Drosophila melanogaster: one gene and its partner. The protein of the gene in region 2 interacts with the protein of the main gene of each other region in a pairwise test. Each region holds a gene or a part of one and is shown on either strand. Other genes may lie near its edges.

Region 1 (4,970 bases), on a different chromosome or scaffold from region 2:
GTTTGGCCTAATCCTGTTGGACTCTGGCTAGGCTAGCTCCATTTTTCGGGGACGTATGCCAAATTGAAATGCCGAATTGGGAACGTCAACCGTCTGACCGCTGGTGGGAAATAGTAAAAAAAAAACAACGGAGAACAATATAATGGAATAGAAACTTGTGCACTTCCGATGTTGTGGGGCTTCTGGCGTTCGCTGGAAATGGAAATGACAAGAAAAGCGCTTGGAAAAGCTATGAAAACGCTAACAGCTGTGAAAACACCTAGTTGGTGCACCTCGGGCACTGGAAGGGTTCGAATCCGATGGATGGTTACCTAATTGCGGCCGTGATAATATTTATCCTATAACTAGGGCTTTTGGGATAGCGCCGGGCTTTTATAGACCTGGCCGGAACCAATTAGCTTGTTGGCTGCACTACAAATCCGATCTGGCTGTGGGATGTGTTGGCAAGTTGTTGGAACACACGGAGCTCCCTAATTGGCCATCCCATAGGCAGCACGACATTAGGGGTGTAACCAAGGGGGATGCGCTCGGATTGCCAGCTGATTTCCAACAAAATTCCGTTTAAATTGGAAAGCACCCTCTAATTGTTTATGCTTGCTGACTTGCATTGCTTGATTATATTTTAAATACCGCAAATTAACTATATCTGTAACGATCTGCAGTGTGTGCACCCATACTCCAACTGCATTTTGTCATGCATTTAGAACGATGGAAACATGAACTGAAATTCATCGATCGAAATCGAATTAAATATTTGCCGTTTCACAAATAATGTTGATAGTCATAGAACAGCAACATTGTGGCTTTTTAAGCATTTGTAAATAACGAGGGAATTTAAAAAATATGTTAGCATTCATTAGAAATTATCACAGAAAATTCAAACAACTACAAGATAATCTGGTTACATTTTATATGGCTATTAATCATTTACAGCAGATATTAGTTTTTATTTATATACTTAAAATAATTTTATTATAATAAATATATTGAGATTAAGCTAAACACTTTCTTCAAACACTTATTTAAAAATCTTCTGGACAATAATTATAGTATTTCAAAATTTTTTATATATTTCGGGAATATTTTACTACCAAGTTATATACGCACAATTACAATAGATTTCAATTTGACACGCACAGGACTCGAATCAAAGTCCAACTGAATGGAATCGGACTCAAACAGGACCTATTTATACCCGGATACTGTTTGTTCTCCGATGCAAAAACGAAGGACTATCCAAATGAAATTGCTATTAAACAGCAGGATGGCTATTTTCCTAAAATGGGTGATGACAACAATAAGCTTAGAGCAAAGCGTTTGCATTGGTGCACAACTTTGAATACTCTTCTAGGATGTCTTCCTAAAAGTCTTTACTGTAATGATTATATATTTATTATTTTATAAGTTTTATTATTTCTAATATATATATTATTATATAAGTATATATTTATTTAAAATTCGGGCTTCTTAAAATGAATAACTTTTAAAAATAAATTGATAATTTAATGTAATTTTTCTTATTCATTATGAAATATAGAGGCAATGAGTCACAAAACGTCAAGAGCTTAAAAGTATTACGTGTAGTTATCAACATTTTTATGAATGTGTTATCTTTTTGGTTACGAATACTTCCTTTCAAAGAGAAAGAGCATATAAATCGGCAACAGGCGGTTTAAATACAAAAGGACATTGAGCACGACGCAGGATGAAAGAGAGTGGGAGAGAGAGAGGGGGAAGCAACAGCCAATGGAAAGAGGTGTCCTTCGGTAGGGAAACAAATCCACTGACCAATCGGATTGCAGTAGACGCAAATGGCATCAACAGGCTGCCAGCTAAATACGTCCCTCATTTTCTAAGTTGTGTGGGCTTACTGATAAATACCCCATCTGGCCAGATTTAAACGAAATTCCCCAGGGAAAACGAAGAATATGAAGAGTCGCACAGGAAGGCATAAAAGCCGAAAATGTTCGAATCTTATGTTGGCTGGAAGCCCGTCTTAAAACGCCAAAAAATATCAGAAACAGCAAATCAGTCCCCCCTCCCCGCTCATTACACACTTGTTACAAGGGAATGGGGCAGAAGGCACAAGAGAGAAGAAAGAAAGAGGGAGAGCATGAGGTCAATGAGCTTTGTACTCGTCTCGAGACTCAGGAAATTTCGACAAAATACCGCTACATTGAATGGCTTTTGCACGTCGAATGCACATGTATCTGTAGTTGTATCTATATCTGTATCCATGAGTGTGTATTACCAAATATTGAGCAATAAGAATAAGAATTTCGGTTTCTTTTGGTCATGAGACAGACAGTTACAATGCGGCTTTTGTTCCGCTCTCTCCCTTTTTGTTCTTTTAAATCTGCGGCTAAAAATACACAATTTGTGAGCTTTTTCATTTAGCTGTGGGCAACAGATAAATTCGTTTCAAAAGTGCATGTGCATACAAAAACACAATAAAAGATACTGTCTTCTTTCTCTTCGTATTCGGATTGGCTCTCTTGGTTTTGGTTGCAGCGCTTACCTGTCGCGCTCTTAAGTCGATCGCTTGGCTTTCTCTCTCTTTGTGCTTTCTTTACTCTCTCTCAGCACCTCTCTCGCTCTCTTTTCTTCGCTCTGTATTTTTTGGTGTGTTTTGATTCCTTCATTCTTGAGCGCTAAGAACGTTCGTTGACCTCGGAAAGTTGGGGCCTCTGCTTAGCGGTACTTCTCAACCTGTTTTTCCCCTCTTACGCCTTTCCCCTTTTCATCCCACAGCGCGAGTGTGTGTGCGAGTGGGCATGTGTGTGTGTTTGCCGTAGAAGTCTTCCTGTTTGCTCAGCGATTAAAGGTGCAACTGAGCGCGCTGCGATCCGATGACGGGCCCCAAAGATACACAGATACTTGCCGAGCAACGTCACGGGCTTCGGTCCCCAACTCTTCGTACCGAGCACTACGTGTATCATTGGGAATAACAGTCAGACTCTCGGACTTTCGGACATCCCATCTCTGATGAAATGCACGCTTGACTCCGCTGGCATGTGTATTTGTTACCAGCCCATACAGGCCAACTTCCATAAATCGATATTTTAGTATAGTATTTTATATCTTCTCTTCTCATGCTGTAGGGGTTTTAAAACTTTGTTATTTTTAAAAGATACCATGGAAAATTTTATTCAAAGAAAAGCTAATCGGTTTTTCTATAAGCCTATTTAAACTTCACATGCAAATATATCATTATTTTGACGAATTTTAAAAATGATTAAATGTCAGAAATCTTTTTTTGCTTTGGTGTACTTTTTATTGAATGACTTCTATAAAATCCTTTGTAGGAAGGCGGGACTGTAGCTTTTCGGTTGCTGCGCGATTATTTTTGGGCAGTGATCACGCATTTAATTAGCAGGAATTGTGGTGAGCGCCCCTTCTGCAGGTGTGTTGGTGAGCGCGTGCGTGTGTGAGGTGGGAACATCTTGCAGCTCCTTTCTCCTTTCTCGGCTGAGCTTCTGTTTCTGTTTCTTTTTGGAGCTTGCTTGGTTTCCCACTCGCCTCCGCACACAGGTTCCCGCCAGAGGATGATGATTCCACCGCCGATGCAGAGGATGATGACCACGATGATGAGCGCGATCATGATCATCGGATGCAACGGGTCTTTGACTCGGTCTCTGGCCATTTAGTGTGCAATCGTTTGTCCCCACGTCCAGTCCAGTCCACTCGGATTCCGGGCTCTCTCATCGGATCGCTACCAGTCCCGATTACGCTTGCTCTCCTTTCTGATCCGTTCCACTCCGCCGGCTTCATCATCGCCTTCGCCGGCTAACTTCGCCGTTTGAAAACTATTTGATCCGAGAACAATACTGGGACTCGAACTAATTCGCCGATTTTACGATCGCTATTATGATCTCATGGCCGGGAGATGAGTTCAAGGCCTTGACACTGATCTGATCCGATTTGGGTGTCTGAACGAAAGTCCATGTCCATTGATGAGATTGCTTAACCCGGATAACATGCCCAGCACCATCAGAGGTTAGTGAGAATGGGGAGTACTAAACATAAGACCACGAGTAGCTATGATATTCCTAAAATATTAAGCTTTATTAACTATTGGATATATTTAAGTTCTTACAATAAATCGATTTATGTCTAGATGATTTTATAATTAAGGAATGGAATACATAATACTTTTGAAAAGGATCAAATTTTAACAAAGAGGGAATTAAAAAAATAATTTTATATAGAATATAACTTGAATAGGGTCTTAATTCTCTTTAGAACCAAACACGATGACAAATAATTCCATAAATTGTTTTCAAGCATTGTAATAGATTTGCTAAAGGTCTTATGAGTTTGCTAGTTTTGAAACAGAGTTTCTCTGGTAATCAAAATAGTTGGTTGGTGATATTTCGCCTCAAAAATCAGCCTTGCCTGGCTATAGGCGACTATTGGAATCATTAGGCTGGCGAAAAGTTAAAAAAAAAAACCTAATTGATTATAAAAGGCAACGGCTTTCAATAGCCGCAAACAAATGGATGGGATATGCAGTCAAGCTGCAAGACATGCAATGCAGCACCTCCGCCAGTCTCGCCGTTGGATTTCCGATTCTAGCCAAAAGATTTTACCACATCTTCAAGGCAGAACAACAGTAATGGCCCGGCCAACTGTTGCCTCATCGACAGTGGGGCTGCAATAAACCAGTTGGAAGTCGCAGCTAATCTTGCAACACAGTTGCGCAACAAAGAATCCGAGGCAACGGTACTAACGTGTTTGCTGTTTCTGCTGCTATTGTGGCTATACGCTGGCTTCTTTTTGATTCTGTTCTGTTCTTTGCTTTTCTCCGTCTCCATTTTCTTGGCAATCAGCTCTCTGAGCCAGTTGCGTGTAACAGGTTTTTCCTCTTGAATAACTGGGACTTTCTTACGGGACTTTTTCGGAGAGTTTCTGCAGAGAAAACAGGTTAGAATCGGCACAGACTTGCAATAGATGATGAGGCAACAGCCGCC
Region 2 (2,923 bases):
CGCGTTGGGACATTAAACTTAGTCGCGGCTTAGGCGGCTTAAGCCAAAAGCTCAACTTTCACTTAACCGCAGAGTGCCGAAACGCACCCCCACACTGCCGCATTAATTCCTAATTAAATGCAAGTCTCTCGGCGAGGGTGGAAATCACCGGGACTTCATTTGCATTTTACAGCAGATCTGGACACTCGGCCATCCTCGGACAATGACAAGCGGATGTATTTCATCTCAGTGGCACAGGACACGGCTTCCTTCTTCTGCTGCTGCTGCTCCTTTATCCCTTGTAAATATTTCATGGCTGCTGGAAAACAATTCCTGCCCGTCGCTCAGCTGTTGCACTTGCTGAATAAATTATCAGCTGTCATTATGGCTTCTCCGGTGCAACTCCTTCACGCCTTCATTTGTCACCCGACTGCGTTTGACAATTAAAAATCGCAATTCGCCAGGAAATGCGGGGCCACTCTAGAGTGTTGAATGCAAAGATGTCGAAATGGACCGCCAAAAACAAAACCTGGGCAAAGAAAACTGTTGCAGAGAACACTTTACTGCTGGCACAGAAAAAATATCTTTAATTTTGCATTACAATTGTTAATATAGCCATTGCCAACTATTGCGAAACTTGTTTACATATTTTCGAATAATTAAAATTGCGCTTTGATCGTTGACAATTAGAGGGCAGAAGGCAGAACGCAAATCAATAAAAAAAAACTTAAAAACATTTAATGCAATTATGGATCCCGGGCCACGGCTTTATTCTCCTTGTCATTCCAGTCGAATGACGGTGGCGCCACCTCAGCAACAGGATTCTGTGGCTCACGGATTCCCATAACCTGATCGCTCAGTGATTTGTTTTCGCGCAGAATGCGGACATATCTGAGTGCATACTGCAGCTCCGACATGGGCAGGTCATGCTCACGAATGAAGGACATGGCCTGATCAGTCTCCTCCTCCGTGTATACCTTTAATTCAAAATGAAAAGTCGTAACTTACGAAATATCTTATTGGACAAACCTCTTCTTCGGATGACATCTTGATTTTAAGCAGTATTATTATTTTGTTTTTTTTTTTTCGTTTGTTCGCTTCTACTGTATATGCTATGTGATCAAGCCTGCGAACGCAGTGAAAATGTTTTACTGGCCTACTGAGCGACACTTTATCCCATAATGAAAAAAACTCATGAAATGTACAAAAATGATTCGGCATTGCCAACACAATACAGCATGCGGCCGAAACTGACCCATCAACACTTTGGCATTGCCTTTAATATGGTCTGGGAATAGAAACAGCAGCAGGAGCAGGAGCAGAGCCGGACCAAGCCAGGACGTCACCCCACCGAACCGAAGTGAACCAACCGCATTTTGCATTTGCAGTTTACTCGGTTAACCGCTTTTCTAGCGGATTTAACACATTTCGGCCTCAGCTGGGCGACAACAGAACAGTGGATTGTTTTCGACCACGACATTTCAAAAAGAAAACATTTATGATTTTACACTCTCAATTTGAGCTTGCAAAAGTGTTGGCTCCCTACAAAAATATTAAACTTATACCAGTAATCTTTCTTACTATAAACATAAAATCTATTCTTAAATTCAATAAAATTTGTCCATGTTATATTGACTGAAATAAGGAAATCATTACTAATATATTACAGATTATTAGCTTAGCGCTAATGCCATTTTTGTTTCAACTTTTATGCCCTTTCCTCCACTGTGGCTAGTTGGGGCAAAAGTGAAAACTAGTTCAGCTGCCCAAAACATGCCAAAATGTTTGAATCGAACAATCAACGCAGAGAGATGGATTCAGAGGGGGTTTGTAGGAATGAAACGTTGGTGGATTTGGAGCCAAAATGGGCATAGCTCATATCGAGTGGCTGCATGCATTTGCCATTTCCTCGGCAATCCAACGAACCCGCCACCCATCACAGAGTGCCACGCCCACTCATATGTCAATGGGGCATGCATTTCATCCGAAGTTTTTTTTTTGGTTTTTTTTTTTTTGTTTTTATGCCTCACAAAACCCGACTCGACTGACATTGTGCGAATTTTTGACCCTAGGGTTCAACTTTGTGGAAGGTGGCTGGCATGCTGATGGGGACGATGGTTGGTTTTGGGTTGAATTGTAGCCAACATTCCTTTGTTATGGCCACCGGGCCAATGGGCTTTGGGGCCTGACCATTATAATTTCAAGTGCAAACTTTGACACTTGAATTGTGGTCCACAATGCTCAAAATAAAGTATGCTTTTCGATCCAGCTTTAAGGAACCGCACTTTTCGAGCAGTCTCGCAAGTCCTAGGCACGAGTTAAATAGATAAAATTACGCGCTTGATGGAAAAAACAAGCAAACAAAGATAAGAAAATGCTATCTACGGGCACTGGCAAATAGAATTGCACGAGGACACAACAGAACACAAAAGGCAAACAAAATTATGTTTAAGGTTATATGCTATGCATAAGTAAGTGAGGCAGACGAACTGGAGCGGGTCAGGCAAGCGGAAGTAGAAGCGGAAACGGAAGCTCAAGCAGCAAAAGAAAGTGTCTAACTGGCTGTGCATGTGTGGTGGTGTTGGTGCTGGTATTAGTGGGCAAAACCCCTCCCCCACGGGCACATCCGACAATTGGGAAAACACAACACTCACTCACAGAAGGAACAGAAAGAGAGCGCAACCGCAGGCGACTTTCAAGGCTTGGTTTTTGTCCTGCCGTTGTCCTTACAGATAGATAAAATACTATGTGTTATTACGAGCTCGACATTTAAAGAAAAACATATCCTTAACATAAAGAACATGATTCAGAGCTATAAAAAAATGCCATAATGTAGATGCCATATGATGATCATTGTGCGAAATAACAAGAAATTTGTAATAATAAATCCCCCTTTTTTCCAGTGTAATATGGCTTGCACACGCGCCGAGCGAGATAAAACATT

What was found. The genes of interacting proteins can lie anywhere in the genome.
Region 1: the proteins of CG14113 (region 2) and Hdc interact in a two-hybrid assay, tested with the Drosophila melanogaster proteins (one large-scale study listed by BioGRID).

The regions. Positions count from the first base shown.
Region 1 is NT_033778.4:10,236,024-10,240,993, reverse strand, and holds the start of Hdc (histidine decarboxylase), read right to left. Parts: upstream 3,007-4,970; 5' UTR 2,519-3,006; intron 1,163-2,518; exon of another isoform or gene 1,108-1,162; intron 126-1,107; exon of another isoform or gene 101-125; 5' UTR 1-100. UniProt on the Drosophila melanogaster protein: Required in photoreceptor transmitter synthesis. Catlayzes the conversion of L-histidine to histamine.
Region 2 is NT_037436.4:13,327,321-13,330,243, reverse strand, and holds CG14113 (uncharacterized protein), read right to left. Parts: upstream 1,110-2,923; 5' UTR 1,027-1,109; coding exon 1,009-1,026; intron 957-1,008; coding exon 726-956; 3' UTR 545-725; downstream 1-544.